Linked DNA regions of Stegostoma tigrinum. The protein of the gene in region 2 purifies or fractionates together with the protein of the main gene of each other region. This does not show direct contact. Links are inferred from orthologs where the notes say so. Each region holds a gene or a part of one and is shown on either strand. Other genes may lie near its edges. The genes, in order: drosha and probable ATP-dependent RNA helicase DDX17.

The links.
Region 1: the proteins of probable ATP-dependent RNA helicase DDX17 (region 2) and drosha purify together in Homo sapiens (co-immunoprecipitation; 3 studies listed by IntAct, with this or other methods). This does not show direct contact. The link is inferred for Stegostoma tigrinum from reciprocal best matches to the Homo sapiens genes DDX17 and DROSHA.

Annotation. Positions count from the first base shown.
Region 1 is NC_081355.1:5,189,133-5,205,951, reverse strand, and holds the start of drosha (ribonuclease 3), read left to right. Parts: upstream 1-10,750; 5' UTR 10,751-10,856; intron 10,857-10,863; exon of another isoform or gene 10,864-16,819. Other genes in the region: c2h5orf22 (UPF0489 protein C5orf22 homolog), read right to left, coding at 2,995-3,116, 3,739-3,801, 4,797-5,286, 7,254-7,403, 8,167-8,312, 10,135-10,206. UniProt on the Homo sapiens protein: Ribonuclease III double-stranded (ds) RNA-specific endoribonuclease that is involved in the initial step of microRNA (miRNA) biogenesis.
Region 2 is NC_081391.1:818,415-834,613, forward strand, and holds the start of probable ATP-dependent RNA helicase DDX17, read right to left. Parts: upstream 7,906-16,199; 5' UTR 7,697-7,905; coding exon 7,650-7,696; intron 6,580-7,649; coding exon 6,411-6,579; intron 1-6,410. UniProt on the Homo sapiens protein: As an RNA helicase, unwinds RNA and alters RNA structures through ATP binding and hydrolysis.

The DNA.
Region 1 (16,819 bases), on a different chromosome or scaffold from region 2:
ATAGGGGAGACATTGGAGGTAGGTTCTTCACTCAGAGAGTGATAGGGGTGTGGAATGCATTGCTGGAGAGGGCAGTGGAGTCGGCCTCATTAGGGGCATTTAAGCGGCTATTAGAGAGGCGTGTGGATGATAGTATAAGGTAGGGGTGGAGGTTAGACAGGCCTTGGGATTAGGGTAAAAGCTCAGCATAACATCGTGGGCCGAAGGGCCTGTATTGTGCTGTACTGTTCTATGTTCTACTGGACTTGAAGATCATAAAATATAGACGCAGAATTAGGCCTTTTAGCCTAATGAATCTGCTTCACCGTTCAACAACGGTTGATATGTTTCTGAATCCAGAGAAGCCCAGTTCCGAGGCATGGTAGAGCCCAGAGTAGCACTCAGCTTGGACGTTGCCACACGAGCAGCGCAAGAGACCAGCTCCAGGGCATGGTTAATCTGCACCATCAGGAGCGAGGTCCAAAGAGACGGCGGCTAAGTCGGTGAGACAGAGCTGAGCTCTTGACCAGACCTCATCAGATGGACAAAACCGACCAAATTCCAAATCTATTGCTTTGATTCTTACTATTTATTCAGAAATCCAAGGTGGTGCCAGAGAGTGATGTCTCTTTGCACTTTTCACTGTATTCCAAAATACGTGACAATAAATCTAATTCAACCTAAACTATCTAATGTCCTTCAGGGAAGGAAACTGCCATCTTTACCTGGATTGGTCTACATGTGACTCCAGACCCACAGCAATGTGGTTGACTCTCAGGTGCCCTCTGAGCAATTAGGCTTGGGCAATAAATGCTGCCTGGCCAGCGATGTCCTCATCCCATTAACAAATGAAAAAAGATCTGTTTTAATTACAATCAATGACTTGGCCTCCACAGCCTTCTGCAGCAAGCAGTTCCACAAATTTACCACCCTCTCGCCAGAAAATTCCACCTCATCTCAGTCCTAATGAGTCATCCCTTCACTCTGAGGCTGTGCTCTCATGTCCTATTCTTTCCTACCAGTGGAAACGTCTTCTCCACATTGACCCTATCCAGGCCTCTCGGTATTCTATAAGTTTCAAATGAGAAACCGCACCCCCCAACCTCCACCGACCCCAATCCTCCCAAACTCCATAAAGTACAGGCACTGTGTCCTCAGCTGCTCCTCATATGACAAGCCCTTCATCCCTGGGATCATTCGGGTAAACTTCATCTAGAACCTCCCTTTAATGCCAGCACATCCATCCTTAGATATGGGGCCCAAAATGCTCACAAAAGTACAAATGTGGTCTGAAGGAGAAATACCTTCAGTCAGAAGGTATGGATCCTGCTATATCTGGAATGACAATAGCAAATTACAAAATCCTTACAGTGTGAAAACAGACCTTTTGCCCCAAGTCAGCACTGAACCTCATAACAGCATCTGACCCAGACCTCCTCCCCAACCCCCAACTACCCCATCATATTCCTGTAACCCTGCATTCCCCATGACAAATCCACTTCGTCTTCACATCCCTGGATACTATGGTCCATTTAGTATGGCCAATCCACCAAACCTTCACATCTTTGGGTTGCTCGAGGGAACCAGAGCACTTAGAGGAAACCCACACAGACATGAAAAGAATGTGCAAACCCCATACAGTAAGTCACCCAAGGGTGGGACTGAACCCAGGTTCTTAGCGCTGTGAAGCAGCAGTGCTAACCACTGAACTGCTGTGCAACCACAAATAATTTAGATACTTTTGAAAGGAAAGTACATGAGCAATAAAGTAATAGAAAGAAACAGAAGCTGAACAGCTGAGATGAAGCTAATGGAATGGGAGAGGATTTGTGTGGAACCCAGTATTCCAGCATGGATTAATTGGTCTGAATGGTCTGTCTCTAATTCGAAGGGAAATGTTTCAAACAGCGGCACATTTAATCTGTATTCAGGGGGCAGTTCTGCTCACAACACTGAAGACATTTTGTTACTTGTGAATGTGATGTGGGTGCTGTAACCAATCCTAACTGCCCTTTGAAATAGCAATTAAGAGTCAATCACATCGCTGCACACTTGGAGTCATATGTAGACCAAATTAGGTAAAAACCGCTGATTTTCTTCCCCCAAACAATATTACTGAATCAGGTGGGTTTTTATGAAAGTTGACCGTGGTTTCACTACTATAGAGACTGATTTAATTTAAATTCCACTAGTCGCCGCGGCAGGATTTGAACTAGTGCCCCCAGAACACGAGTTTGGATCGTCGGATTGCTAACCCCATGACAATACCACTACTCCACCGTCTGACCATGTTAGGTGGAGATCCCTCCAGGAGATACCTTTGGGAGCCATCAGGTGGTTTAGGAACTGGTCCAAGCAGCTAAAAGGCAAGTCACGTATTAACAATTGGGCACAAGCCACAGGAACAGGAGGGGTGAGAGAAAGATGTGATGTGCAGAAGTGAATGAAACAAGAAAAACAAGCTATCCAATCAATTTCAACTGAATAATTCAGCCAGAGATAGCAAGAACTGCAGATGCTGGAGTCAGAGACAACACAGCGTAGAATTTCTGAAGAAGGGTTCCAACCCAAAACGACAACTTTACTGCTCCTCGGATGCTGCCTGGCCTGCTGTGTTCCTCCAGCTCTACACTGTGTTGTCGCTTAATAATTCAGCCAACCCATTTTCACCTATTTAAGTTCCCATTAACAGCTTTTGTTTCTTCCTGGCTTACCTTTATCCATCCCTTTGTCAGCCTAACCATCTTCCTCTATAGGCTCTGTCTTCACTCCCACTTCCCACCCTACCCCTTTCCTTCTACTTTTTTCAGTGTAGATATCACCTTCACCTACCTATTAATAATTCTGAAGGGGCACTGGATCCAAAACATTAACTCTGCTTTCTCTCTCCACAGATGCTGCCAGACCTGTTGAGTTTCTCCAGCAATTTTTGCCTTTGTTTCAGATTTCCAGCAACTGAATAATCCCCCTGTCAAGAAAAATGTTGCTGCTTTATTGCAAAGTTATTTCATTTACCCAGGTATTGCTGCCCATTTTTGTATGCTTTCTTCACTGTCATCTTCACACAGATCTGCAAATGCAGCTTCCATATCTTCTAGCTGTCTTGTACGAGCTTCCACACAATCGATCAACGCCTCCTGGGGGGACAAGATATAGTTTTCAGATTTGTTTTTAACAATTGTCTTTAAATCAACGTTGCTAACATCAGAACTTCCTTGCTTTCAAAAACGTACCAACTCCTATACCTTCTGATACGTCCCATGCTTTGCTCTCAAAAGAAATTATTCTGTTAAATCCATCACATTTTAAATGGGAAGTACACTTTTCATGTTGAGATGTTTCACTGTTGGAGCAGGAGTAGACCATTTTTCAGCAGAGGTGTTGTGGCCCTCAGGTTAAACCACCATCAGTCATCTCTGTTCAACAGGACTGTGGTAACTTTTACACCCCAGGAATTAGTCTGCTTTTAGAAAAAAGGTTACTGCTCCCGAGCAAAATTGTAACAAAGTTGCTGGTCCATAGTTACAGTAGTGATTAATACTATCCTCATTTCCATCGAGAGAAAATAGCAGAGATTCTGTCTCTGTCTGATACAGTCACAGGATATAAACACACTGAATTGGCAAGCATATTCTTTCAAAAAAATCATAAACAGCAAATCTCAACAGTTGAAAAACCTGCAAGAAAACATTTTTGTTTCTTCAAAATTAACATAGCCTCATGTTGCGCTAAAAGCAACTATATTTGATCTTCACCTACCTCAGAGTCTTCCTGATCAGGTTTGTTAAAACTATACAACTGCTTGAGAATTTCATATTCTTCCTGAGGGACAAGATGAAAGTGATTATGAATAAATACACTGTCAACAGCTTAAGCATGAAATGATGCTTGTTCTCATTTAACATCCCCTGTCTTGCTGCAGTATTTAGGTTGAAAACAATCCTAATAACAAATCTTTCTATGCATCCCTCTTTTAGCTTTTGTAAAGAAAAACCTTGCATTTTGATAGCACCTTTCATCAGCACAGGACAGGCTGAACCTATTTTACAGTCGGTGTAGGGTCTTCACTGCTGTACTGTGGGAAATTCAGCAGCCAGCTTGCACACAGCAAACTCTCACAAACAGTAACGTAATAACATTCAGATCATTAGCTTGAGTGATACTGGGTGAATAATAAATACTGGGCAGGACACCAAGGAAAGTACCAGTGATCCTCCCAGGATATGTCACAACCACCTGAGTGGGCAGGAGGGGCTCACTTCAACATCATTCACCCTAAACGCCTTAAAGTGCAGGAGCCAGTAAAAAGACGGGTGGTCATAGTAAGAATGTAATTGGATTAATAATCCCAAGCCCCAGGCTGACGTGCTGTGCAAACAGGTTCAAATCTCAGAGTGGCAGCCAGTGAAATTAAAAAATAAATCTCGAGCTAAAAGCTAACTTAGTGGCAACACATAACCACGGTTAATTGTTGTAAAGCTCCCTCTGGTTACCAATGCCCTTTAATTAAGGCCATCTGCCATCCTTTCCTAGACTGCCCTCTGTGCAATTAGGGACCAGGCAATATCTTGCATTGAATACGACTCTCCTTCAGAACAATTACCTGCTTGTTTCCCTTAAGAGTTCACATTCACAAGCTAATCCAATGGTTTCTTTTCCCTGTCCATATACGTTACCCCAACAACAAAGTGAAGCCACACACACAAGATGTGAGAAGATCATAGGTACGCAAAACAGACCAACAAAACTCTACTAGTAAACATACAGGTAAAGTTCAGAAACCTTTTGTCCTTAAAGCTAGAATTAAGAAAAAGCACCTCGGTGTACATTTCTTTAAATGGATTTTTAACTGAAAAGAAATCCAAATCAATATCCAGGATGAAAGCATCTCTTTTGTCCAAGACATGAAGAAGATCCTTCACGATTTCCTTCTCCGGCTGTTGGACAGTCTGAGGGCTTGTCGGTGCTGTGTGGGGTGGAATGGTCTCCTGTATGTCTCTCTCAGCTGTGGAGTGTGAAACTGGACAAATGTTGTCACCATTAGATCTGTCCTCAGACAGCTGATTGTTCTCTTTGGGGGCCGAGGCACACATAGGCCCGGGAACACCTTCTCCACTGGTGAAATGTTCCATTTTTGGTATTTTGCAGGCAGATGCTCCAATTTCCTCTGGTTCCTCACAGTCATCTCTGCTCTGCTCACCTGGGTCTATCGGGATGACCTGTAACCCTAACTGCTTCCTGTTCTCCAGCAAACTCTCCGACACGTACAATCCATCACTCAGAAAGTAGCTCTCAGCACTTGTAACCCTGATACGAAAACACAAAAAAAAATCAGAATGAAATAATCTTTGCACATTCAAATAAAACATATGTGTCACAAATGCATGTATTTTGGAGAAGACAAACTGGAGCTGGCAGCTCAAAAATGATTAGATTTACACATCCTCTGGATATCCTTCCTTACACCTCTCTCTCTGTTTCCTCCTAGAACCACTCCTTTGACCAGATTTTTCATGGCCTGGTTTACTAGCTCCCATGGTTTGATGCCTTCACTCCTGCAAAGCCCTGGGACACAATACAAGTGTAACTTGCTGTTGCTGTTTCAGTCCAGTATCTGTCATCCCTGGAAATGGCAACAGGGAGAAAGCGGAGATGTGCAAAAGCTTCCTTTTACAGACTGCTCACAAAATTGGGAATCACTAGTTTTGATTCTTTATTCTTTCACCGGCAAGGCCATCATCTGTTTACCATCCCCAACCAGCCTTTAACTGAGTGGTTTGTTTGGCCATTTCAGAGGGCAGTTAAAGCCAATTGCTGTGGGTCTGGAGTCACATGTGTCTCAGACCAGGTAAGGAGAGCAGGTTGCCCTCCCTAAATGGACATTACCGAGTCAGATGGGTTTTTATGACAATCGATGATAGTTCCAGCATCATGAATATTGAGACTAGCCTTTATTCCAGCTTCTTTATGAATATTAGGGGGTGCAATGACCTACTGGCATTCTTGCTAGACTATTAATCCAGGGACCCGTGTTCGTGTCATACCATAACAGATGGTGGAATTTGAATTCACTAGAAATCTGGAATTAAGAGTCAACGATGACCATGAAACCATTGTTGATTGTTGGAAAACCCATCTGGTTCTTTTGGGAAGGAAACTGCCATCCTTATTTGGAAATATAATATTGCCGTTCTTTCACTGTCACTGGGATAAAATCTTGGAATCCCTCCCTAATGGCATTGTGGGTCTACATACTGCATGCGGACTGCAATGGTTCAAGGAGGGACCTTGTCACCATATTCTCAAGGGCAACTAGGGATGGGCAATAAATTGTCGGCCTGGCCAGCAACACTCACATCCATTGAGAGCAAAAAGAATTTATCTGATCTGGCCTATGTGATTCCAAACCTACTGCAATGTGGTTGACCCTTAACTGCCCTCTAAACAATTAGGAAATTGCATTAAATACTGAGCTAGCTAGTGATGCCAACTTCCCGTAAATTAATTTAAAAAAAAAACTGAATTCAAATCCAACCATTTTCCATGATCGGATTTGAATCCATGCCCCCTCACCCCCAATCATTAGTCTAGGCCTACTGTTCCAATAACATTACCACTAGGCCACCAGCTCCCATCATGTGGGGAATTGAGAATGTACATCTGCGATCTGTTTATCATTTTGTAGAACAGCAGGCAAGACACTAACTGTAATCAATAGCACACTCAGTTCTCAAGACAAACACCGCATTCAACGCTCTGAGAAAATATTACTCTTAACCTGTATCTTAAATCATGACCCCTTCGTTTTTGAACAGCAACCTCGTATTCCAGATTCTGTCAAGGTGCCTCAGGGCCTTCAGTTTTCAGGCAAGTTGCCTCTTAAGTCTTCAAAACACCAGTGGATGCAGGCATAGCCTGGCCTACCTGTCACTGAATCTCACAGTTCACAAGAGGCCCTGTGGCCCATTGAATCTGCACCAAAACAAACCTATGCTAAATTTACACTAATTCCATGTTCCAGCGCTTGGCCCTTAGACTTTAGTGCTATGACATTTCAAGTGATCATTCAAGTACATTTTAAAGATTTCCTGATGAGCACATTTTAGGCATTAATCTAGTAAACCTTCTCTGACCTGTTTTTCAATGCATTTCTGTCCTTCTTTGAATAAGAAGTCCAGAGCTGTACACAATGTTCCAAAAGTGGTTTCACCACTGGCCGGTCCAGTTGAAGCATAACTTCCCGATATTCCTGTCACAGTAAACAGCTGCAATACCTGATGGTTTTAGTTGAAGAATCTCTACCAACAAAGAAGCAGTGTTTCCCATCGGTGATCTGCTGGGCCCACAGAGGGTGAAGCCAAAAGACGTCAGAGAAGTGGCCAGCGTAAACAACAGGCATGATCCAGTTCTCAATGCTCAGGTCTCTATATTTAGGGCAGAGCGGGGAGAAAAAAAAATTCTGATCACTTTTCTAAGGACAAATAAGAAACTGAAGTGAGAGAAACAGAACATTTGCTTCCATTGAACTAGATAATGGCATCACAAGGTGCTTCATTCTTGCTAAATTATTGTCAAGTCCCACAACTGAAAAATCTCCCTGATTGGAGAGTGTTTCCCAGATTTAAATATTGTCATTCCCAAGACTTGAAAGCAAGTCACCATCTACTTCAGTGTCTCGTCCAGCCTCCTTCCGACAGCACCTTCCAAAACTATGACCTTTACAACATTGAAGGGCAATAGGTGCATTGGAACACGATCACATGCAAGTTCCCCACAAAGCCACGTACCATCCTGATTTGGAACAATGTCATCATTCCTTCAGTGTTGCTGGATCAAAATCTTGCATCTCCCTCTGTATTTACAACGTGGATCTACCTACAGCAAATGGATTGCCAATGGTTCAAGACAGCTGCTTGTTAAGTTTCCGACCCACATCCCCAGAGCGTTACTTCGGGCTCTGAATTACAGGTCCAGTGATTATATTGTGATGCCATCACCTTTGGAACATCAATTGCTCTTCAACTGCGATAATTAATTACTCATTCTCCCAACCCACTGAACAGTAACTGTATCTATTTACCTAACAGGTTATAATTTGTAAAGGAGAGATTATTTATAGTTATTTCAACAAGGACAGAGACACAGATTATTCAGCATTTAAATGCAATAAAAGCCAAGTCACGTTACCCAAAAAGCAGCTCTTTATCAAACACACTATCAGCTAACATGTCAATTGGGATTAGAAGGTCTGGGTGTGAGTCCAGGTGAACCAGGGCTATATTTTCAATTGGCAAATGCTTTGAACCAATTGCTCGATAGATGAATGGTACCACCTGAAAAGACAAGAACAGAGAGAATGTCCCGAAGAAAGCTTAAACAGGAAGAGGGTGAGGTGAAATTAACATTGTTAAATTCTGAAACTTCAATCAAGAATCACCCAGAGTCACAGTCATGGCTAAACAACACATTTACCCCCCTTCCACCAACAGGAACATTCAACCAATTTCTTTGTCAAGGCCCCCTCATGAATACTAACATTTCTATCAAAGCTCCTCTCAAAGTTGTCTTTTTGACGAACAGTTGTGGTGGTGTTGGTGGGTGGGGCTGGGGCAGGTGGAGTGTAAAACATTGTTCAATCTTCACATTAAAGACGTCTGAAAATCTCAGGTGGAGATGGTGCCACCAATCCTTGTTGTATTTTTAATTCAAGGCATTGGGTCCTGATCTTGGGCCATCTGTTCCAGAGATAGGATCACTACCACTGCATAAAAAGACCATTCCAACCCTTCTGATAATCCTAGTCTACATGCTTATTAGTACTAAATGGTGAAGGATTAACCAGTAAATCTTCTTTGGCACAAAAAACACTTAACTTGGGTAAAAAGTAGTAATTTATTGCATTAGAAAGAAGATAACATGTTACATTAACCTGAGACTGAAACTATAATACACTGAGTATGGTTGAAAGCAGACCCAGGATAAGTATGGTTACTTCAAGACTGAGGAACTCCTCCCACAGACTCTCATGCTTACACACATACACACTGGGCTGTCTATATCAAAACTCATGTTACTAGAATCTGTCATGCTTTTCCTCTCAGCAATCATCATTTCATACATCTCTGTATTAAAATGATTTAGCTCACTCACATGGTCCTGGGAGTGCCCAGTATCAGAAAGCGTTGGGAGTAGCAAGTTGCATGACCGTTGTCAGGTAAAAATAAAGGAAGAACAACAATCCTGGGGTTCTAGCTCTGGAATGTTCAGTGAATGGCTTTACAAACCCAGGAAAATGTTCCAATTCCCAGGATAATGTTGCAATCACTGTGACAATGCTACAATACTTGGACAACATTCTAATTCATGGGATGTTGCAGTTCCAAGGACAACAATCCTGGGGCAAAGTTCTAATCTCAGGAATAATGTTACAATCCCAAGGGCAACATTCCATGTTTCAACGCAACCTTCCAGTACTGGGATAATGTTCCAGTTTCCAGGACAACCTCTCAATCCTTGGGGCAATATTCCAATCATTGCAAATAATGTTGCAATATTCAAGAAAACATTGCAATCCCAGGTCAATGTTACAATCACCAGGACAATGTTCTAGTCCTCAGGCGACCTTTAATTTCCAAGATACCATTGCAACCCCCTGGAAAACAGTCCTATTGCTGTGATAATTTGCAATCCCGGGGACAATGTTACAATCGCCAGGACAGTGTCCTAATTCCCAAAATAAAGTTCCAATCCCCAGCACAACATTCCAATACCCAGAAAAACGTTCTAATTCTTCAGACCACCACTCAATCCCTAGGAAAATGTTGCAACCCCCTAGGAAAACATTCCAGTTCTTGGAACAATGGTCCAACCCCAGAGGCAACCTCCCAATTCCTGGGTTAATATCGCAATCCCCAGGGCAATTTTCCATTTCTCGAGACAAAATTCCAACCCCTGGAACAACATTCCAATTCGTGGGAAACGTTGGAATTCCAGGACAATGTTCCAAACCCTGAGAAGAGGCCGCAATCCCTAGGGGCAACGTTACAAATCCCAGGACAACCGCCCAATTCCCTGGGGAAAATGTGGCAATCTCCAGGGTAAGGGTCCAATTCCCGGGAATGACACGGCGGGTGGGTGGAGAGGGACCGCTCTTACATCTTGATGATCCTCCACGACCCAGACGGGAAGCTGGGGGTAGCGGCGCAAGCAGCAGGTGACCCCGCTCATGTCTGCAGGGAGGACCCCCTCACTGCCTCTCCCTTAGTCCTCAGAGCCTCCGGGGGAAGCACATCCTCCGTCGGACCTCATCCCTCGACCTACGTGATTGGAGGAAAACGAGTCCAGCACCAGAAACGTGCCGACCTGAAGCAAATGCAAAAAGGCCCCAAGATTGCTTTAACGCTGCAGGATCGAATCTCCTGCAGGGCTTTACCTGCTGAGCAGCAAATGCTGCTACCTTTATGTTATATATATAAAAAAAACAAAGACCTTTATGCTCGTGTTTGACCATTTATTGAATTTTGCATCGATCCGAGTCCAATCCTAAACTTTAAATCGCTTCCGTTTGTGTGAAGATTGCAGTTGACCCCAGTTGTGTTTTCATGGACACATATTGAAATAACATGCAATTTCTAAGAGGCTGCTTAAACATTCCCTGTTGCCAACCCAGTGTTTGCAACCAGGATCGGAGCATGTATCCGCCGGAATGTTGCGGGTGTTTCTTTTTCTCTCCGGCATTGTGACGCCGCCATGTGTCTGTGAGGAGCCAATGGGGACAGAGCATCGGGTCTGCTACTTCCGAGAGTTTCCGTCTCAGCTTTCTCCTCCGCTTCCTGTGCCTGAGGGAGAAAAAATACACCGCCAGCAGCTCGTGAAGTGTAAGTCCCGCAGCATTGACTGAAATGCAACAGGTTATTTAGAGTGGGAGCGGGTTTGCACTGTTTGATCTAACGATGTAGGGGCGCCGTGCAGCTAATGCGGTGGGGTGGAAACAGTAACAGGGGAGGGAATTGCAGCGTTGTGGAGAGGAACACACACGATGTCACTGCAATCACTGATACACAAAAAAAGGAGGCTGAATTAGTGGGATGATTAGGGAAAAAAATGTTTTATCAGTGTTTAATTCCTCAGGGCATTGTGACCATTGATTGCTTGTTCTTGGAGCTTCCTCTGCGCAAATAGTGTGTGTTCCCTACGCTACAACAGGGACCGCATTTCCACACCATCACGGTGAAGATGCCACATCAGTGTAGTTTCTTCTCCCTGCTTCTCTGCCCCAAACCTCTTGAAGTTTCATTGCCTCTCCCCTGGAGTTACCCACTGTGTTGATATGCAGCCCTCTGCTGCAAGACGTGTAGTGAACATATTCGGTCGGCGTTGAACCTGTTTAAGTTGTAATTGTTGGTAGCTGGGAATGTTGTCTTATTGGACCGTTGTATTCAATGTTGCAAGCTGATTTTAGACCGCACACGAGGCTAAATTCAATTGAGAGTAGAAGTGTGCTGCACTCTTGCAGTGGCAGGATTCTTGGCAGTGTGGAGGAACAGAGGAATCTTGGGGTCTGGGCCCACAGATCCCTCAAAGTTGCTACCCAAGTTGATAGGGTTGTAAAGAAGGTGTATGGTGCATTCGCTTTCATTGGTAGGGGAATTGAGTTTAAGAACCGTGAGGTTATGCTGCAGCTCTATAAAACCCTAGTTAGACCACACTTGGAATATTGTGTTCAGTTCTGGTCACCTCATTACAGGAAGGATGTGGAAGCTTTAGAAGTAGTGCAGAGGAGATTTACCAGGATGCTGCCTGGACTGCAGGGCAGGTCTTATGAGGAAAGGTTGAGGGAGCTAGGGCTTTTTTCAGTGGAGCGAAGAAGGGTGAGAAGTGTACAAGCTGATGAGAGCCATAGACAGCGTGGATAGTCAGAGACTTTTTCCCAGGGCGGAAATGACTATTACGAGGGGGCGTAATTTTAAGATGATTGGAGTAAGTTGTAGGGTTCTTTACCCAGAGAGCGATGGGCATGTTGAATGTGCTGCCAGCAGTGGCAGTGGACCACTTTAGAGACTTTTAAGCAACTCTTGGATGGGCACATGGAGGATAGTGAAATGTGGCATGTGCAGGGTAGATTGATCTTAGAAGGATAACAGGTTTGTACAACATTGTGGGCCAAAAGGCCTGTACTGTACTGTGTTCTTTAACTTAAAAAAGGAGTTTGTATGAAATAATTTCATTGCAACCTGCTTGGATACAGATCATTTAAGGACATGAAGGTATAACCTCCCTTGACAATGTGGACGAACAGGCCCTGAATGGTACTCTGAAATACCACTTTTAAAAAGAGGTGATTGGAAGAAAATGTGGGACAAAGGACATTTTCTTCACCACCTCTGAAGATTTTCTGACTTGGTTTTCCTTGTTTTATGTTCTTGGGATGTGCATTGTCTGGCTGGGCCAGCATTTGTTGTCTATTGAACCCTACTTTCTATCACAGCTTGGAGACCACTGTCAGTCCTTAAGGTGTAAGGACACTCAGGGTGCTGTTGAGGGAAAGAGTTCCAAGATTTTGACCTGGCAGCAACAAAGCAACTGTGATGTATTTGCAAATCAGGATGAGGTGTGGCTTGATGGGGAATATTCCGGTTGAAAGTGTTCCTCTGTATCTGCTGCCCTTGTCCTTCTGGGTGGCCGAGGTCATAGGTTTGGAAGATGGTGTTGGAGGCTTGATAATTGTATTAAGTGGCATAAAGCAGCAAAGCACAAGGTTTGATACACACAATGAGCTGAATTAGTTGGCACTGGCCAGGATAAAATGATTCTTGGCCTCAGTGCCCAGGCTAGACCTGAAGAAGGAGAAAGTTTCATGAGTGACTTCCCCCTCTCTCTGCTAGTAATCAGTAGTTTTTCAATGATTGGACTTAAGACTGTGACGCTTAGCCAGGTTCAGCACACAGTTATGATAGACCAAAAAAAAACATGGGGTATATGTCCATAGGAAGGAGTTCAGAATATAAGTTTTGTTTACACTTCATGAACCCAAGAAAAGTAAAATGCTGAGGTTGATACAAGCTTGAATTCTTAACAGGATAACAAAGTGTGGGGCTGGATGAACACAGCAGGCTAAGCAGCATATTAGGAGCAAAGAAGCTGATATTTCGGGCCTAGACCCTTCATCAGAAAAGGGATTGGAATAATTAAGCAATTGTTTTGGACTGATGATAATGCAATGGGCCAAAGGGTCTTTTTCCTGTGCTGGAAGACCTCTGACAGTGTGGAAAATATCTAATCGCTGAAGGATTAATCCTCAGAGTCAAAAATATTCCTGGCATTTGTGTGCACAAGTGTCTATGCCCCTACCAATTTTATACATCTTAATTATATCCCTCCTAAGTGAGCGCAGCTTCAAGTAAAACAATTCCAGTCTGCCCAATCCCTCCGTAACTAAAACTCTCCAATTTATGCAACATCTTGGTAAGTCTCATCTGCACCTCTCCAGTGCTATCGCAACCTGCCTATAATGTGGAGCCCAGTGTTGTCTGAGAACCCATGCTGTCTCTTTCAGATGTGGCAACTGTGCCATGCATTGATACAGCCACTTGGATTAAAATTGCATCCACTCTGTTGTGGCTGCACGGGAGTCTCAATTAAGCAGAGGTCTCACCTGCCCGCCTGGGTGGATATGGAGATTCCATGCCTATATTTCGAAGAGGAAAAAGTGTGTTCTCTTCAGTTGTCTTGACCATATTTGTCCACAGCACACAGATTTTGTTCCTTTCCACATTGCTGTTTGTAGGAGTTGCTGTACACTAATTGGCTAATGTTTCTCCTATGTTACTGCAATGAAGTACTTTAAGAGTATTGAGCAGTACTGTGTTTTGGGACACCCTGTGGCTGTGACAGTACTATTGAAACTCATGCTAACATAAATTAGAAGCAAGAATCAGCTAATCAGCCCCTCAGTGCTGCTCCACCAGTCATTAAGATCACAGCTGCTCTGAATCGATTGTCAAATCCACATTCTTGCCTTCCCCTGAGAACGTTTCACTCTTTTGCTTGGTGAGGACCCATGTTGGCCTTAAATATTCAAGGACTTGGCTATTATTTTGGTAAACCTCCTGTGAACTGTCTCTACATTTTTACTTAAACGAGAAGACCAGTACTGTGCACAGTACTTCAGTGTCTTCTCACCAATATTCTCTAACTCAAATATAACCTCCTTACCTTTCAGGCCAAAGACGTGGCAGTGGGTGACCACATGGGTCCCAGCTATGCCTCTTTCTAGGGTACATGGAACATTCCTTGTTCCAGTCCCATTCCAGCCCCCACCCACAGCTCTTTCTCCGATATATTTGATGATATCATTGGTGCTGCTTCCTTCTCTCATCTGGGATTGGGAAAGTTTACCAATTTTGGCTTCCAGTTTCCACCTCGCTGTCACCTTCACCTGGTCCATCTTTGATTTCTTCCTTCCCTTAAGGCAGGATAGACTCGATGTGTTGAATGGTCTAATTTCTGCTTCTATGTCTTATGGTCTTCCCTTCCTCAATATCTCTCTGTCCGGGGATGGACTGGCCACTAATATCCGATACAAACCAACTGACTCCCACGGTTAACTTGACTGTACATCCCCACACCCCATTTCCTGTAAAGATTCTTCCCTTCTCCCAGTTCTTGTTTCCATTGCAGCTGTCAGAAACACCCATCTTCTTCCTCAACCAAGGATTCCAGTCATAGTTGACAGGGCTGTCAGCATGTCCAACCCACCTTCCAAACTTTGGCCCCCACCCCTTCAACAGTAAGGTCCCCCTTTTCCTCACCTTCAGTCCCACCAGCATCTACAGCCAGCGGACCATTATCCACTATTCCCACCACCAGGCACACATCTCTCCCCTCCTTTGACAGCCTTCCTCAGGGACCAATCCCTCTGGGACCCCCTGGCCCACTCTTCCTTCACTCCTGCCACACCCACTGCAGCCCTCCCGCACCTTCCCTGCCTACCTTTTCAGCATCCAAAGTCCCGAACATACCTTCCAGGTGAAGTATCAGCTTACCTGCATTTCACTCTGTCCAATCTACTGCATTCTCTGCTCACACTGTGGTCTTCTCTATATTGGGGAAACAAAGCATAGACTGGATGACCACTTTGCAGAACATCTATGTTATGTCCACAAAAAGACCAAGCTACCTGTTGCCTGCTCCTTCAACACACCATGTTGTTCCCTGGCCAACATCTTTGCGTCAGGCTTACTGCATTGCTCCAGCGAAGCTCAGCGGAATTGGGAAGAGCATCACCTTATTTTTTGCTCGGGAACTGCACGGCCTTCTGGCTGTGATATTGAGTTCTACAATTTTAGGGCTTGAGGCACCTTCTCCCATGTCCATACCCCCAACCCTTAACAAATCAGGACTTGTTATCACATGGTCTGCTGTTATACATATGTAATTGATAGCCACTAATAGTCCCCGTTAGCAGCCAATCATTCTCCTAGGTTGACCGTTATCCACTCGTTGTCTGTCAAACTATTCTTCTGTCTCTTTGGGCTGTATCTCTACCTATTGTTTACTCTTTACTCCCTCCACCCACCCTATTTGCTGCTGCAGTAAAACACTTCAAGCTATAATCACACAAAACATTAACTTTGACTTCTCTCCACAGATTGGCTGAGTTTTTCCAGCAATTTCTGTTTTTGTTTCTCTCTAATTTTATCTTAAATTCTCTTTGCGATGAATGATAGCATTCAATTAGCTTTCTGAATTGCTTGCTTTACCTGCAGACAAATCTTCTGAGATTCATGCACTAGGACACCCAGATCCTAGGCTAATATATTAGTTAACCAATCCTCTAACAGAAAACAAAGAGTGGGGATAAATGGGTGTTTTTGTTTTGGTTGGCAATAAGGTTAGTGGTGAGCCTTGGATCAGTGTTGGGACCTCAACTGTTGACAATTTACACAGATGATTTAGAGTTGGGGACCAAGTGTAGTGGATCAGTGTTCCCAGAAGACATTAAGTTGTGTGGTCGAGCAAAGTCTGTGGAGGGATATCGAAAGGCTAAGTGAATGGGCAAGGGTTTGGCAGGTGGAGTACAATGTTGGTAAATATGAGATCATCCATTTTGGTAGGAATAACAGCACAATTGACTATTATTTGAACAGTGAAAAATTGCAGCATGCTACTGTGCAGTGGGACATGGGTGTCCGCGTGTATGAATCACAAAATGTTAGTTTGCAGGTGCATCTGGTAATTAGGAAGTCAATTGGAATATTACCCTTCATGACTAGAGGGATGGAGTTTAAAAACAGGGAGGTTATGTTGCAGCTATATGGGGTACTGAGTAGACCACACCTGGAGTACTGTATTCAGTTTCATTGGTTGAAAAAGGATGTACTCGTTCTGGAGGTTCACTATGTTAATTCCAGAGATGAGAGAGTTGGTTTGTGAGGAGAGATTGAGTAAACTGGGACTATACTCATTGGAATTTAGGAGAATTGGGGAGTTCTTATTAGGAACATATAAAATTATGATGGGAATAGATAAGATAGAAACAGGGAGGTTGTTTCTGCTGGTGGGTGAAACTAGAACTAATAGGGCAGATTTAGGACTGAGTTGAGGAGGAACTTCTTCACCCAAAGGGTTCTGATCTGTGGAATTCCCTGCCCAGTGAAGCAGTTGCGCCTACCTTGTTGAATTTTTATGAGGCAAAGATAGAGAGATTTTTGAATAGAAAAGAAATTAAGGGTGATGGTGAGTGGGCAGGTAAGTTGGACTAAGTCTACAGAAAGAGCTGCCATGATTTTAATGAATGCTGCAGCAGGGTTGAGGGGCCAGATGGCTGCCTCCTGCACCA
Region 2 (16,199 bases):
GGAAACAGGCCCTTCGGCCCAAAAAGTCCACACCGTCCCTTGGAGCATCTCACCCAGGCCCATCCCCATACAACGCACACACCCCTGAAGGCCATGGGCAATTTAGCATGGCTGATCCACCTAGCCTGCACATCTTTGGACTGTGGGAAGAAACCAGAGCACCCGGAGGAAACCCGCGGAGAATGTGCAAACTCTACGCAGTTACCCAAGGCTGGAATTGAACCTGGGTCCCTGGCGCTGAGAGGCTGCAGTGCTAACCACTGAGCCACCGTGCCGCCCATAACATTTACCCCTTTCAATTCCTCATTTTCAAAGATAAAGGTGATGCTTCTTTTATCCAATAGATTTCATCACATCAAATGGGCATTTAATTTCATTTTACACTAACCGTTCTATTCAAACGGATCTATAATTTTCTGGTACATGCCACATAGTTTAAAGGATGTCATCCAAAACTGTGATCTGTTACAATGCTGTATCTTCCTCTGCTGAAAATGGCTAGAATGCCCCAAACAACAACTACCTCACTTCAAAAGGGTGCATCTCACGTGGCATAAATATGAATGCTGTTGGGTCTTAAAAAAGGAAAAAAAGGGTAGGTTGTTCAATAAATCATGCCAGCTCTGGTATACAATAGGACTACAGCTGATCCAACATTCTTTATGTCTACTTTCCTGTCCTTCCTTGGAATCTGTTTCAGCCTTGTTTATATACACAAGTACTCTGTTCCCACAGTTCAAAAGATTTATAATTTGCAAAAAATGCCGAGGTTACTTCAAAGGTTCCAGAACCTGCAACCTCAGGAGAAATTCCTCCTCGTCCCAGTCTTAAACTGACACCCCTTTGTTCTGAAACTATTGAAATGAAACATCCTCTTAGTATCTACTGTATCTAGCCCCTTAAGAATCCTATGTTTGAAATGCGATCAGCTCTCAATCTAAATTCCAAGCAGTCGAGTCCCAACTTGTTTAACCTTTGCTCATAAGACAATCCATCCATGCCAGTGATCATCCTAGTGAACTTTCTCTGCACAGCCTCCAATGAAATAAGATCTTTCCTTAAATAAGGGGACCCTGATCTCAGCAGCACCTTGGAGAGTTGCAGAAAGAGTTGATTTGATTTGATTTACTATTGTCATACATACCAAGATACAGTGAAAAGTATTGTTTTAAATGCCATCCAGACAAATCATACCTTACACAAGTATGTCAGGGTAATGGAACAGAATGCAGAATATAGTGCTACAGCTACAAAGAAGGTTCAGAGAAAGATCAATTCTACTGAGAGATCTCTAAGCTTACATTCCAAATCTCATGAAATAAGTCATTCCATTAGCCTTCCTGATTACTTCTTGTACCTACTCGCTAGCTTTGTGTTTTGTGGACAAGTACCACCAAGTATGTTGCAGTGTTCTGCAGTTTTTCTCTAATTTAGCTAATACAGTTCTTTCTTGCTCCCCTCCAAAAGGCACAGCAGAGGGGTCTTGAAGTTCATGTCCCCAGTTCCCTGAAAGCTGCCACCCAGGCAGATGGAATTATTAAGAAGGTGTATGATATATTAGCTTAAATTAACAGAGGGACTGAGTTCAAGAGCCATGAAGTTATGCTCCAGCTATACAAAAGCCTGGTTCGGCCACATCTGGAGTATTGTGTCCCGTTCTGGTCACCTCGTTGCGAGAAAGATGCGGAAGCGTCGGAAAAGGTGTAGAGGAGATTTGCCAGGATGTTGTATCAGCGATAAGGGGAACTGCAGATGCAGATGCTCTCTGAAGGGTCTAGGCCCGAAACGGCAGCTTTTGTGCTCCTGAGATGCTGCTGGGCCTGCTGTGTTCATCCAGCCTCACATTTCATTATCTTTGCCAGGATGTTGCCTGGAGTGGGGGTGGTGTGGAGGAGAAGAGAGAGGAGGTCTTACAAGGAAAGGTTGAGGCACCTACGACTTTTCTCTTTACAAGGATAAGAGGCGATTCGATAGAGATGTACAAAATGATCAGTGGTATAGGTAGAGTGGACAGCCAGAGACGTTTTCCTCGGGTGAATATAGCTATTACGAGGGGGCATAGTTTTAACGTGTGCCGAGGTAGATACAGGGGAGACATCAGAGGTAGATTCTTTACTCAGAGTGGTCAGGGCGTGGAATGCATTGCCAGAGAGGGTAGTGGAGTTGGCCTCATTAAGGGCATTTAAGAGGCTATTAGATAGGCATATGGATGATACTATAAGGTAGAGGTGGAGGTTAGATGGACCTTAGGATTAGGGTAAAAGTTTGACATAACATCGTGGGCCAAAGGCCCAGTACTGCTCTATGTTCTATCTGCAAATTTGGCCACAGTACATCTGCTTTCTTACTCAATGTCATCAACATATTGTAAACAGTTGCCACCCCAGCACAGATCTCATGCAGCCCTTCCAGTTTGCTCCACCATTCTATCAAGTCATGGTGATTTGAAACCTAACTGCCTATTTGTTCCATGTCCCTTAATCCTTTCAACTGAAAAGGTCAAGTGTAGTTCGAGTATCAATTATCATTTGCAGAAGTTTGAAACTTCTCTCAGATTTTGGGTAGAAGCATTTCCCATTTTCTCATGCATCCACACCTAACTTCATATAATACTCCTAGTCCTAGACTCCCTATTGAGCAGAAATAGCTGCTTTAGATTGTAAAGATTGCACCTTTTTAAGTGGACCAATCTAAGAAAAACTTTTCAAAACCTCAACTGTTGCATATTTGAAAAGCAAGTAATTTAACACTCAGGTTAAGCGTCATTTAAAGAGCTGCTTGAACAAGCAGCAATTTAAGATTAGGCTGCAGATAGAATCATAGAAATGTGCAGCATGGAAACAGGTCCTTCAGTCCAACTTATCCATGGTGACCAGGTAACTTAAATTAATCTATTCCCATCTGCCAGCATTTGGTCCATATCCTTCTAAACCGTTCCTATTCATGTACCCATCCAGATGCCTTTTAAATGCTGCCATTGTACTAACCTCCATCTCCGCCTCTGGCAGCTCAATCCTGCCCCTCAGATCCTTTCTAAATCTTTCCCCGCTCACCTTAAATCTATGATCTCTAGTTTTAGACTCTCCTGCCCTGGGGAAAAGACCTTGGCTACTCATCTATTCATGCCCCTCATGATTTTATAAGCCTCCAATGTTCCACAGAAAAGAGCTCCAGCCTATTGTGCCTCTCCCCTATTGCTCAAGCCCTTAAACTGTGGCAGCATCCTTGTAAATCCTTTCATACTTCACAACATTTTTCCTATAGCAGGGAAATCAGAATTGAACACAATATTCCAAAAGTGGCCTAACTAATATTCTGTATAGCCAGAACATGCCCTCCCAACTCCTATACTCAATGCACTTACCGAACGCCTTCTTCACTGCCCTGTCTATCTGTGACTTCACTTTCTGAAACTATGAACCTGCACCCCAAGATCTCTTTTCTTGGCAATACTTCCTAGGACCTTACCACTAAGTATAAGCCCTGCCCAATTTGCCTTAACAGAATGCAACACTTCACATTTATCTAAATTAAACTCCACCTGTCACACCTCAGTCCATGTGCCCTTCTGATTGTGATCCCATTGTAATTGGTGATCATTTTTTTTGCTGTCTACTATACCAATTTTGGTGTCATCTGCAAACTTACTAACCATTCCTCCTATATTCACATCCAAATCATTCATATAAATGACAATAAACTACAGACCTAGCTCACTGCTGGTCACAGGCCTCCAGTTTGAAAAGCAATCCTCCATCATGGACAAGCATATGGACGTACATGGAATAGTGTAGATTGGATGGGCTTCAGATCGGTATGATAGGTCGGCACAACATCGAGGGCTGAAGGGCCTGTACTGTGCTGTAATGTTCTACGTTCACAGTAATCACCACCCTCTGTCTCCTACTTTCGAACTAATTTTGTAACCAAATGACTAGTTCTCCCCGTGTTCCTCGTGACCTAACCTTGCCATCCAGCCTACCAGGCAGGACCTTGTCAAACGCCTTACTGAGGTCCATACAGACAACATCCACTGGTATGCCTTTATCAATCATCTTCACTTTTTCAAAAAACTGAAATCATGTCAGTGAGACATGATTTCCCCATGCATAAAGCCATGTTGATTTTGATGAACTGAATCTAAGAAGTTCCGTATTTAACATTGGTTAACAGCAAGAAATTAACTGGTCTATAGACTAATGATCAGTGACTGATGACAAAGGCATTTCATTTGCTAGCAACTGTGTGATTGGCTCTTCGATAACCGAGTAACTTGAGGCTGTGCACAACAACCAGAGAAGTGATCAGATCTCCAACAGCTCAGGAGCTGTTTCTGTTCTCTGTAGTCAAAACCTAATTTAAATCCAAAGAAATCTATTTTATCTTCCATTCAATAGTTGCTGCAATTGGAAGGTCAGGGACCTCGAATAAATGAAATCAGTCATCCTGCACCTCTTGCAAACCAGAAGGAATTGGAAAAGGTCACAGAAACCTTCTGACCAGCAAGAACCAATTCAACAGATCTTGTGAACAAAGACTGCTAAACTGCTTTCCCTTTACTCCCTCAGTCCATGCTCCACCTTTCCTAACCCCACATACGTGTGCGTGTGTGAGAGTGTGTACGTAAGTGGAAGTTTAAGGGGATTACATGCTGTCGCAACTCATTGGGTAATATGCTGAAAATTAAGTCCTGCTTTTCCTGGAGTTGTCAGCAATGTTGAATATTTCAAAAAGTAGGCAAAATTCCCACTTTATTTGATTTTCAGTCCGAGGTTGGTAGAAAGCACAAAACAGATTTCTGTGCTTAAGAATTTCTATTTATTGCAAGTAATTATATTGTAGTTTCAGGTAAGCTGTCTAATTATGCCTTTTAAATTAAAATAGGTGTTATTTTGGTAAATCTTGTCTCTGCATTCTTGAAGTCTAAGATAACCTTCCCACAATGGTTCCAGGAACTATCAATTGCACTTGGTTGCTGTGTAAGCACACTTTTGTATAGTTGAACTGCCACTTTAACCCATATATTATATAGTCAGAAAAGTCAACAGTCCGTCAGCTTCTCTTGATCTGTTCAGGAAATCTAATGATCTGGACCCCGTTGCTTCTAGCTTTCCAATCCAGAGAAAGTCACCCATTTTAGTATTTTAGGACCTGATTGAATTACTATACGTTTGATTACATTTAATTTTATTCATCAGTTTTCTCTATTCAATTAATTTTTTTTATCATGCTTTGTGATATTACCTACACTGTTCACAATGACACCTCTCTTTTGCATCATTGGCAAAATCTGGGTATGTGACTTTCTGCCCCATCATGAGTCATTATTATTGATGGTGAATAGCTGAAGCTGCAAAACCACCTACAAAATATCATTAATCCTGCTCATTATCCCTACTCTCGTTTTTTGCTGCTTAATCCATTTCCTAACATGGTCAATAATTCTCTTCTATTTCATTAGCTGCAACTTCAGTTAACAATTTCTTTTGACGATCTTTGATGAAATGTCTTCAGTCCACATAAAAAAAATCCATATGCAACGACATTCTTTCCTTTACTTTAATCACCTCTTCAAAAATTCAACTCACCTACACCACATGCCAGTAGAAACCAGAGCACACATTATAAAAATTAATAGGTTTCAGGATACTGATGATATCAAACAGAAAAATACGGCAGAGAGAGAACTGAGCAGAAACGATCTGTTTGAATGGTAGAGCAGGCTTAATCGGAACACAGGTAGGTGATTCGACCTATATTCATTAGTCATGACTGACTGTTCACCTGTGGGGTTATTTGATCAGCTAAAAGCTTTGAAGTTGTATATTGTTTTTAAAAAAAAACTCCTGCAATTTTCCCCAACAGATGTTAGGCTAACTGGTCCAGAATTTTCTGGCTTTCTTCTCAGCTTTAAATCGCCATAATTTTTTCAATTTAGAAGGAAGGTTCTGATACAAGAGAGTTGTAAAACGTCACAGTTAAGGCCATGCAGTATCGTCAATTAAACAAAATTTGAAAACCACTGGTCTTGGGATTTGTCATTCCTTTCGACCATTACTTTCTTCAAGACTGCTATTTTGCTAAGTTTATTTTCATAACAGCAATTCAATACTTGCAATTTCCAGCACAATGATATTTTCCTTTAATTTCCTAATTGACAATTGTGATATTGGCAGTGACAGTTTAGACAATAGACAATAGGAAGGGTCACATGATAACCACATTAGGGGAATGAGAAGCAAAGTTAGATACAAAGATAGTTATTTTATGAGGAATTGACTCAAAATTAAATCAACAGTTGATATTTCATATCGCAGGATTACAGCAAAATTCTAATATCAAATTAAGTTAGTTACATCTCAGTTAACAACTCACTCAACTTTTGCAACTAGATCCATTCAGATACCCACCGGGCTTAGTCGAACCACTTCAGGGTGCTCCACATAGAAGTTCTTCTCAAATTTTGGCAACTCCTCCAGGTCCCACTTCTTCTTCCTCAAGCGTTCTCCAGGCTGTCCAAATTTCTTCCCAAGTGATGGGCCCCCACGGCTAGGCCCTCCACCAAACCGTGGGCCATTACTAGTGAGAGGAGGTTGAGTCTTAGTCAGAAATAGGTACAACTACAACCCAGCCAGCAATCCACAAATGAAGCCCACATCAGATGTTACATGTGAATTTTATTATTAGTACAGCTAGTAAGTACTATAGGCTACCCTGAGTAAGAAGATTGGAACCATTAAAAAAAAACATTGCCAAGGTGTGAAATTATGAGAGGGGCTTAAACAGGTAAGTGATATAGGGAGGACTGGAGGAATTAGGTCACGGTTGAGTCATCGTGTCATCCAGGGAGGGCGACTCTACGCCTGCGACAGTAAAATGGCTGAACCAAAGACAAGCCAGTAATGGAGAAACACAGCACGGCTGCTCAGACTAGGCCTCGCTGAACGGCTCATTGACGTACGTTACCGGGCGAGAAGGCGAGGTCGGGCTAGAGTCACATTGATTGGGTCAAACACCTGTCAAGCAAGACCCAAACGGGACAGACGGACACCAAAAAGATCCAATCAAATTTAGAGAAAACAGTCCCCGACCAATAAGAGTGCAGTGCCAACGGAAGGCGGGACCACTAGCTAAGCCGGACCCCCTCCATCTTCCCGCAAGAACTCCGGAACCCTCCTTTCGGCCGGCTGACAGAGACCCACATTCATCATCCCATCCTCGCCAGCACACAGGCCGCGAAGCATCGCACCTACATCTCGACCGGGAGGTACATCTCCTGAGTCATCCCACTAATTCCTGGGCATCAAAGTCCACGACCTTTCAGATCCCTTTAACGGCACACACAAGCCCAGATTCCCTGCACCCCGATCAACGGGGGGCGGACAGGGACCCAGAACACAACCACCCTCAACCCCCGGGGTCACTCAAATACCGGACCCCGTCAAACGACTACGCGCAAATGCTTCCTCGCCAGAGATCACGGGTGGCAAAGTCAGCAGCCACGATTCGCCGCCTGGCCTAGGCGGGGCAACAGACCTAGAAACCAGGCCTGGTGGAAGTGCGAGGCCTCTTCCTTGCCAAACCCGCTCCTTGCAAATTGCTTCTTTTGACCCGGAGTGGTAAGTGTGCGGTCCTGTTCAGCCTCCTACCTTCCTCGGTCTCTACCGCGGTCACGGTCTCCACCGAATCCTCTCATTTTCGCTCGATTCTCGGCGTCGGGGAACAAAGAAAAGCCGCAGTTCCTGCGATAGGTTCAGCAGCAACTTGCCGGAAGAGCCGACCCTCCCGCTGGATTCTCGGTTGGGAACAGCCCCCTCCCGCCGGATCCTGAACAGGAACAGCCGTACTCCGCGCCGAAACCCGAAACAGCTGTCCTTCTCCCTCCCGCCGGACCCCAGTCGGGAACACCCCTTTTCCTCCGGACCCCTGTCGAGAACAGCCGCTCTTCCTCCTCCCGCCGGACCCCTGTCGCGAACAGCCGCGCTTCCTCCTCCCGCCGGATTAAAGTCTACCTAGCAACAGAAACGTCACATCCTTGTCTGTTCGAGCATTCAAAGGACGGCCTGCGAAATAAGGCTTGTTTATCAAAACCTACTGTTAATTGCCCAGTTCTGACTTCATGTAGTTTTAGTTTAGGAAACTGTTGCGTGTATGTTAAACACCACCTTTTCCAAAGGCATTAGGAAGCGATGTCAACAGCTAAGTACTGGAAGGTTAACACAAAGGTGTTTTATTGTAAGGGGAATGGAATATAGGAAGTTTCCAGGGCGTTGGTGCGACCGCATTTGGACTATTGTATACTCTACCTATGAAAGATGATACTGGAAGTAGTTTATCCGAAGTTTACCCAGTTTGATTTCTGGAAGGAACAAAAACAAAGTTGCTGGAAAAGCTCAGCAGATTTGACAGCATCTTTGAATGAAATAAAAGAGATAACGTTTCGGGGCCGGTGACCCTTCCTCAGAACTTGATTTCTGGATGAAGGGGCTATTTCATGCGGAAAGTGTGCGTCTAAATCGATTGCAGTTCAGAAGGAGATAACGCGGTGTGAAGCTGAATGAACGCATCGGAGCAACAGGAAAGCTTGACGTTTCGCGTCCCGACTCTTCAGAAAAAGGGTCCCGACCCGAAACGTCAAGCTTTGCTGTTCCTCTGATGCTGCTTGGCCTGCTGTGTTCATCCAGCTTCACACCGTGTTATCTCAGATTCTCCAGCATCGGCAGTTCGTACTATCTCTGTGGCAGTTCAGAAGGATTTTGATTGGGTGAATGGAAAGAATCCTTCCCTCAGGAAGACTGGAATTAGGAAATACAGTGTAAAATTAAACTGTCCTATATGGGAACAGTGATCTCCCAGGACTGGAAATCCATGGAACTCTATTCCAACGAGATGGATTTATAAAATAATATAAACATATTGAAAATTCTTAAAATGCAGGTCGATTGACTCCCTTGTCAGGAATAACACTTCACTTGACCAAGGAACAGCACTCCAAAAGCTCGTGATTTCATATAAACCTGTTGGATGATAACCTGGGTGTAGTTTGACTTCTGACTTTGCCCGCCCCAGTCCAACACTGTCACCTCCACATCAATAATTTAAGGGTAAGGGGACAGGAAAGTATGCTATGCTGAGGCCACAGTCAGATCAACCAAGATTTTATGGAATGATAGAAAGGTTTGACAGTTCAAATGCCCGACTCCTGTACCTAATTTGTATGTTGGTATTGAAATCGTGGAGCCAGCATTTCCAAAATTTGCTGATTTCCACTTGTAACCAGGATGACAGCCTGAGTTTAAATCAGATCCAGAATTAGATTCAAAGGCCCCAATAGTAAGGGGTGTGAGGGGGCTGCAGAAAAGACACTATCGAGTCATACTGCACGGAAACAGACACTTTGGTCTAGTCCCACTTGCCTTCGCTCGGGCCATATCCCTCTAAACTTTTCCTATTCATGTACCTATCCAAATCTCTTTTAAATGTTGTAATTGTATCTGCCTCTACTACTTCATCTGTCAGTTCATTTCATATGCGAACCATTCTGTGAAAAAGTTGTATTTCAGATCCCGTTTAAATTTTTCTCTTGCCCACCTTAAAAATATGCTGGCCAGTTTTGAACTCCTCACAATTGGGGAAGGACCTTGTTATTCACCTTGTCTATGCTCCTTATGATTTTATAAACCTTTATGAGGTCACCCCTCAACGTCCTACATTCCAGTGAAAAAAGTACCAGCCATCCAACTTATCCTTACGACTCAAACCCTCCAGTGCCGACAATATCCTGGTAAACCTTTTTGAATCCTCTCTAATTTAATGATATCCTTCCTACCACAGGCCAACCAGAACCTTATAGAGTACTCCAAAAGTGGCTTCTCCAATGTCTTGTAGCACCTTAACATGACATCCCAACTCCTGTACTGGTCACTGCAATGAAGGCAAGTATGCTAAATGCCTTCTTAACCATCCTGTCTGTGACTTTCAAAGAACCATGTACCTGAACCAAGGGAGCCTCTCAGCACCAGGGACCTGGGTTCAATTCCACCTTCAGGCGACTGTGTGGAGTTCACACATTCTCCCTTGTCTGCATGGGTTTCCTCTGGGTGCTCCAGTTTTCCTCCCACAGTCCAAAGATGTTCAGGCTAGGTGGATTGGCCATGCTAAATAGCCCACAGTGTTCAGGGATGTGCAGATTAGGTGGGTTATGGGGAATGGGTCTGGGTGGGATGCTCTGAGGGTTGCTGTGGACTTGATGGGCTGAAGGGCCTGTTTCCACACTGTAGGGATTCTATGATGATCTATGAACCCCATGGTCTCTGTTCAAAAACACTATCTGTGAACCTATCATTCACTGTATAAGTCATGCCCTTGTTTGTTTTACCAAAATGCAAAACCTTGCACTTATCCAAATTAAAACTCCATCTGCCACTTCGCACTCCACTGGCCCAATTGATCAAGATTCCTTCAGAATCTTCAATAACCTTCTTCACTCAACTGCACCACCAATTTTGGTGTCATCTGCGAACTTACTAATCATGCCTCATAAATTCTCATCTAAATCATTAATATAAGTAAGAAACAAAAGGTGGACCCAGCACCAATCCCTCTGGAATGCTGTTGGTGAAAACAAACCTCTGCTACCACCTTCCGTGTCCTACCATTAAGCAAATTTTGCATCCAATTGGCAAGTTCTCCCTGAATCCCATGTGATTTAATTTATTCATCATTCTACCATGTGGCACCATTTTAAAGGCTATACTGAAGTCTATGTAGACAGCATCTACCACTCTGCCTTCATCAGTCCTTTTGGTTACATCCTCAAGAAACTGAATCATATTTGTGAGACATGATTTCCCTACACAAAGACATGTTGGCTATCCCTAATCAGTCCTTGCTGCTCCAAATGCATGCAAATTCTTTCCCTCCAACAACTGATGCCATCGATTGACAGGTCTATAGTTTCCTGGTTTTCCAGCCTTTCTTATTTCAGAGCACAACATCAGCCACCCTCCAATCCTCTGGCAACTCGCCCGTGGCTGTAGATGACACACATATCTTTGCCAGCGGCCTGCAATTTCTTCCCTAACTTCCCATAACATCCTCGGATTGACTTGATCAAGTTGTGGAGATTTATCCACCTTTATGTTTTTCTAAGACCTCCAGCAGTTCCTCATCTGTAATGTAGACTGTTCACGAGACATCAATATTTATTTTGCTGAGTTTCCATTTCTTTCTCCACTGTAAAAACTGATGCAAAATATTCATTTAGTATCTCTCCAATCTCCTATGGTTCCACATATATATGACCTTGATTTGTATTTTCTCCCTAGAGGCTCTTTTGCTCTTCATGTACCTGTAGAATCTCTTTGAATTATCCTTAAGCTTATCTGTCAAGACAATCTCATATTCCCAAATGCCCTCCTGACTTCCCTCTTAAGAATGCCCCCACACTTTTTATTCTCTTCAGGAGATTCACTTGTTGTCTTTACTTAATACATGACTCCTGACAAAAATGAAGAAACTAAACTGTTAGGAAATATCAAAGCTTATGACTGAAAGGCACTCCATGGTTTTTTTTTAGATAGATTTCACCAAGCCTGTTAATGTAGTGCCATGTAGGAGATTGTTCCATAGGAAGTAAAACGTAGAACATTGATAGCCTGGCTGTAGCAGTGGTTGGAGTTGTCAGAGTGCTGGATAGTCACTGCTGAAATTCCCCAAAAATCAGCACTTTGTCATCCACATTGTTCCACTTTCAAATTGCTATTTTTGGACACTTTTTGTCTGTATATCAATGACTACATGGAGTTAGATTACATTGTGAGATATCAAGAACAAGTTGATCAGATCGTGGTGTCCAGTTGAGAAGAGCAAATAATCATCAATTTTGTCAACTACAATGAACAGGCAAAAAGGGAATAAATGTTGAAATGATAATTAAATGATGTTGGTCTACAAGGGGGCTAGGGTGTGTGAAATATAGAACATAGAACATCGAACAATACAGCGCAGAACAGGCCCTTCGGCCCTCGATGTTGCGCCAACCTGTGAACTAAATATGAGAAATTAACTTGTTTTTAATGATTTTGGTTCAAACCATACAACATAGAAATCCAAAAGTATCACTTCACTGTTCTTGTCAGTATATTCCACATGATTACCTATTTCACCAGTCTGTCATTCTTTATTAAAGTCTGATAATAATAAAACAGAATTACGTATGCTGGAAATCTGAAACAAAAAGTGCTGGAGAATCTCAGCAGCTCTGGCAGTATCTGTGGAGAGCGAAAAAAAACAGAGCTAACGTTTAAAGTCCTGCAACTTTTCTTAAAATTCTGAAGGAGGATCACAGCGGTAAAAATGTTTAACTTTGCTTTCTCTCCACATTTGCTGCCAAACCTACTGAGTTCTCCTGAATTTCTTTTCTGTTTGTTTCCGCTACTATCCTACTCACTGCTTTCTATGGTTCTTAGATTTCTGTCACCTGCAATCTAAAATCATTGCCCCAATAGCCAAGCCCAATTACGACTGGAGCAGCAGAGATTTAGGGATTCACATACTGAAATCATAGGTACAAAATAATAATTTGAAAGGTTAATAAAATGTCAGCCTCCATACAATAAAGTAGAAGGTATATTAACAAATGTACAGAGCTCTGGACAAATTCCTTTTGCAATACTGTATTTGGACCTCAGGAAGAGTGTCAGCTGTGAAAGGACATAGTACAAATTGATCAGGATAATTAAACTGAAGGCAGCTCACCTTTTCAAAGCCAACAAGGAATGGCAATAAATACTGAGCCACTCCATTTTTGCAGCAGCAGCAGGAGTGGTGAGAGCAAGGACCAGGAGGCCGCTGGGAAGGTAAGCTGTTCATTTCAGCAGCGGAGCTGGGTGGGAGCAGTCGAATTGCGCTCCCACCCAGTGAGTGAACTGATATATTTGGGCAGTGGCTAAACCTGAGACACTACACGTGTAGTGTCTCCCACATGCCCTCCTCCTCTAACCAAAAAAAACCAGTGCGGTGTGTTGATAAGGTAAGGTTTTCCTTTTTCTTTTTTTTATCATGTGCTGGTAAGTAGAGTGATTGGTAAAATTTTTTTCATTTCATTTATCTATTATTTGATATTATGGTAGGTCTAAGCTAAGCTTAAAAGTTGAAATGGCAGGAGATCCCAGACTCATGTTAAGCTTCACTTGCTCTATGTGGGAGCTCAGGGACATGGTTGATGTCTGACTTCTACACGTGCAGCGAGTGTGTCAAGCTGCAGCTCCTGTTAGACCGCATGATGGCTCTGGAGCTGCGAATGGACTCACTTTGGAGCATCCGCGATGCTGAGGAAGTCATGGATACCACGTTTAGCAAATTGATCACACTGCAGATCAGGATTGCTGAGGGAGAAAGGGAATGGGTGACCAAAAGGCAGAGAAAAACATGGAAGGCAGTCCAAGCGTCCCCTGCGGTAGTCTCCCTCCAAAACAGGTATACCCTTTTGGAGATAACAAAGTGTGGAGCTGGATGAACACAGCAGGCCAAGCAGCATCTTAGGAGCTCAAAAGCTGACGTTTCGGGCCTAGACACTTCATCAGAAAGGGTCTAGGCCCGAAATGTCATCTTTTATGCTCCTAAGATGCTGCTTGGCCTGTTGTGTTCATCCAGCTCCACACTTTGTTATCTCGGATTCTCCAGCATCTGCAGTTCCCATTATCTCTGATACCATTTTGGATACTGTTGGGGGAGATGGCTCACCAGGAGAAGGCAGCAGTAGCCAGGTTCTGGCACTGGGGCTGGCTCTGCTGTACAGAAGGGTGGGAAAAAGAGTGGAAGGGCTATAGTCATAGGGGATTCGATTGTAAAGGGAGTAGACAGGCAGTTCTGTTGTCGAAAATGAGACTCTCGAATGGTATGTTGCCTTCCAGGTGCACGGGTCAGGGATGTCTCAGATGGACTGCAGGACATTCTGAAGGGCGAAGTTGTACTGCCAGCTGTCGTGGTGCACATAGGCACCAATGATATAAGTAATAAATGGGATAAACAGAAATTAGGGAGTTTGGAGCTAAGTTAAAAAGTAGGACCTCAGAAATAGTAATGTCAGGATTGCTACCAGTGCCACGTGCTAGTCAGAGTAGAAATAAAAGAATAGGCAGGATAAATGAGTGGCTTGAGAGATGGTGCAGGAGGGAGGGGTTCAGATTTTTCGAACATAGGGATCGGTTCTGGGGGAGGTGGGACTATTACAAATTGGACAGTCTATACCTGGGCAAGAATGGAACCAATATCCTAGGGGGTGCTTTTGCTAACACTGTTGGAGAAGGTTTAAACTAATGTGGTAGGGGGATGGGAACCAAATGAGGAGGTTAGTGGACAGTAAAGAGGTAGTAACTAAAGCCTGTAAGGAACTAGATGATTAAGTAGGTGTGACTAAGGGGAACAGTAGGCAGAGAGCAGATGATGAACACAAAGGGACAGATGGTCTGAGGTGCATTTGTTTTAATGTGAGAAGTGTAGTACATAAGGCAGATGAATTTAGGGCTTGGATTAATACCTGGGAGTATGATGCTATTGCTACTACTGAGACTTCATTGAGGGAAGGGCAAGATTGGCAACTAAATATCCCAGGATATAAATGCTTCAGGTGCGATAGACGGGGAGTTAAAAGGGGTGGAGAAGTTGCATTACTGGTCAAAGAGGATATCATAGCTATGCTAAAGGAGGGAACTGGAGGAGTCGAGCAGTGAGGGAATATGGGCAGAGCTCAGAAATAGGAAAGGTGCAATAACGATGTTGGGGCTTTACTACAGGCCCCCCAACAGCGAGCGTGAGATAGAGGAACAAATATGTAGAGAGATTATGGAAAGATGTAGGAGCAACAGGGTGGTGGTGATGCGAGATTTTAATTTTCCCAACATTGACTGGGATTCACTTAGTATTAGGGGTTTAGACAGAGTAGAATTTGTAAGGAGCATCCAGCAGGGTTTTATAGAGCAGTATTTAAGTAGTCCAACTCAGGAAGGGGCCAGACTGGACCTGGGGAATGAACTTGACCAGGCGGTTGAAGTTTCATAGAACATAGAACAATACAGCGCAGAACAGGCCCTTCAGCCCTCGATGTTGCGCTGACCTGTGAACTAATCTAAGCCCATCCCCCTACACAATCCCATCATCATCCATATGCTTATCCAAGGACTGTTTAAATGCCCCTAATGTGGCTGAGTTAACTACATTGGCAGGTAGGGCATTCCACGCCCTTACCACTCTGAGTAAAGAACCTGCCTCTGACATCTGTCTAAAATCTATCACCCCTCAATTTGCAGCTATGCCCTCTCATACAAGCCAATGTCATCATCCTAGGAAAAAGACACTCACTGTCCACCCTATCTAATCCTCTGATCATCTTGTATGTCTCTATTAAATCCCCTCTTAGCCTTCTTCTCTCCAATAAGAACAGGCCCAAGTCCCTCAACCTGTCCTCACAAGACCTTCGCTCCAGACCAGGCAACATCCTGGTAAATCTCCTCTGCACCTTTTCCGATGCTTCGACATCCTTCCTGTAATGAGGTGACCAGAACTGTACGCAAGTGAGGCTGCACTAGCGTTTTGTACAGTTGCAGCATGACATTACAGCTTCGGAACTCAGTCCCTCTATGAATAAAACCTAACACACCGTATGTCTTCTTAACAGCACTATCAACCTGGGTGGCAACTTTCAGGGATCTATGTACATGGACAACAAGATCCCTCTGCACATCCACACTACCAAGAATCTTTCTATTATTCGTCCCAAAGTGAATTGCCTCACGTTTGTCTGCATTGAACTTCATTTGCCACCTTTCAGCCCAATTCTGCAGTTTATCCAAGTCTCCCTGCAACATTCTTCCACACTGTCTACCACTCCACCGACTTTAGAGTCATCTGCAAACTTACTAACCCATCCACTTATGCCTGCGTCCAAGTCATTTATAAAAATGACAAACAGCAGTGGTCCTAAAACAGATCCTTGTGGCACACCACTAGTAACCAGACTCCAAGCTAAATATTTTCCATCGACCACTACTCGTTGCCTTCTTAGAGAAAGCTGGTTTCTAGTCCAAACTGCTAAATCTCCTTCAATCCCATACCTCCACATTTTCTCCAATAGCCTACCATGTGGAACCTTATCAAAGGCTTTACTGAAGTCCATGTACACCACATCAACTGCCCTA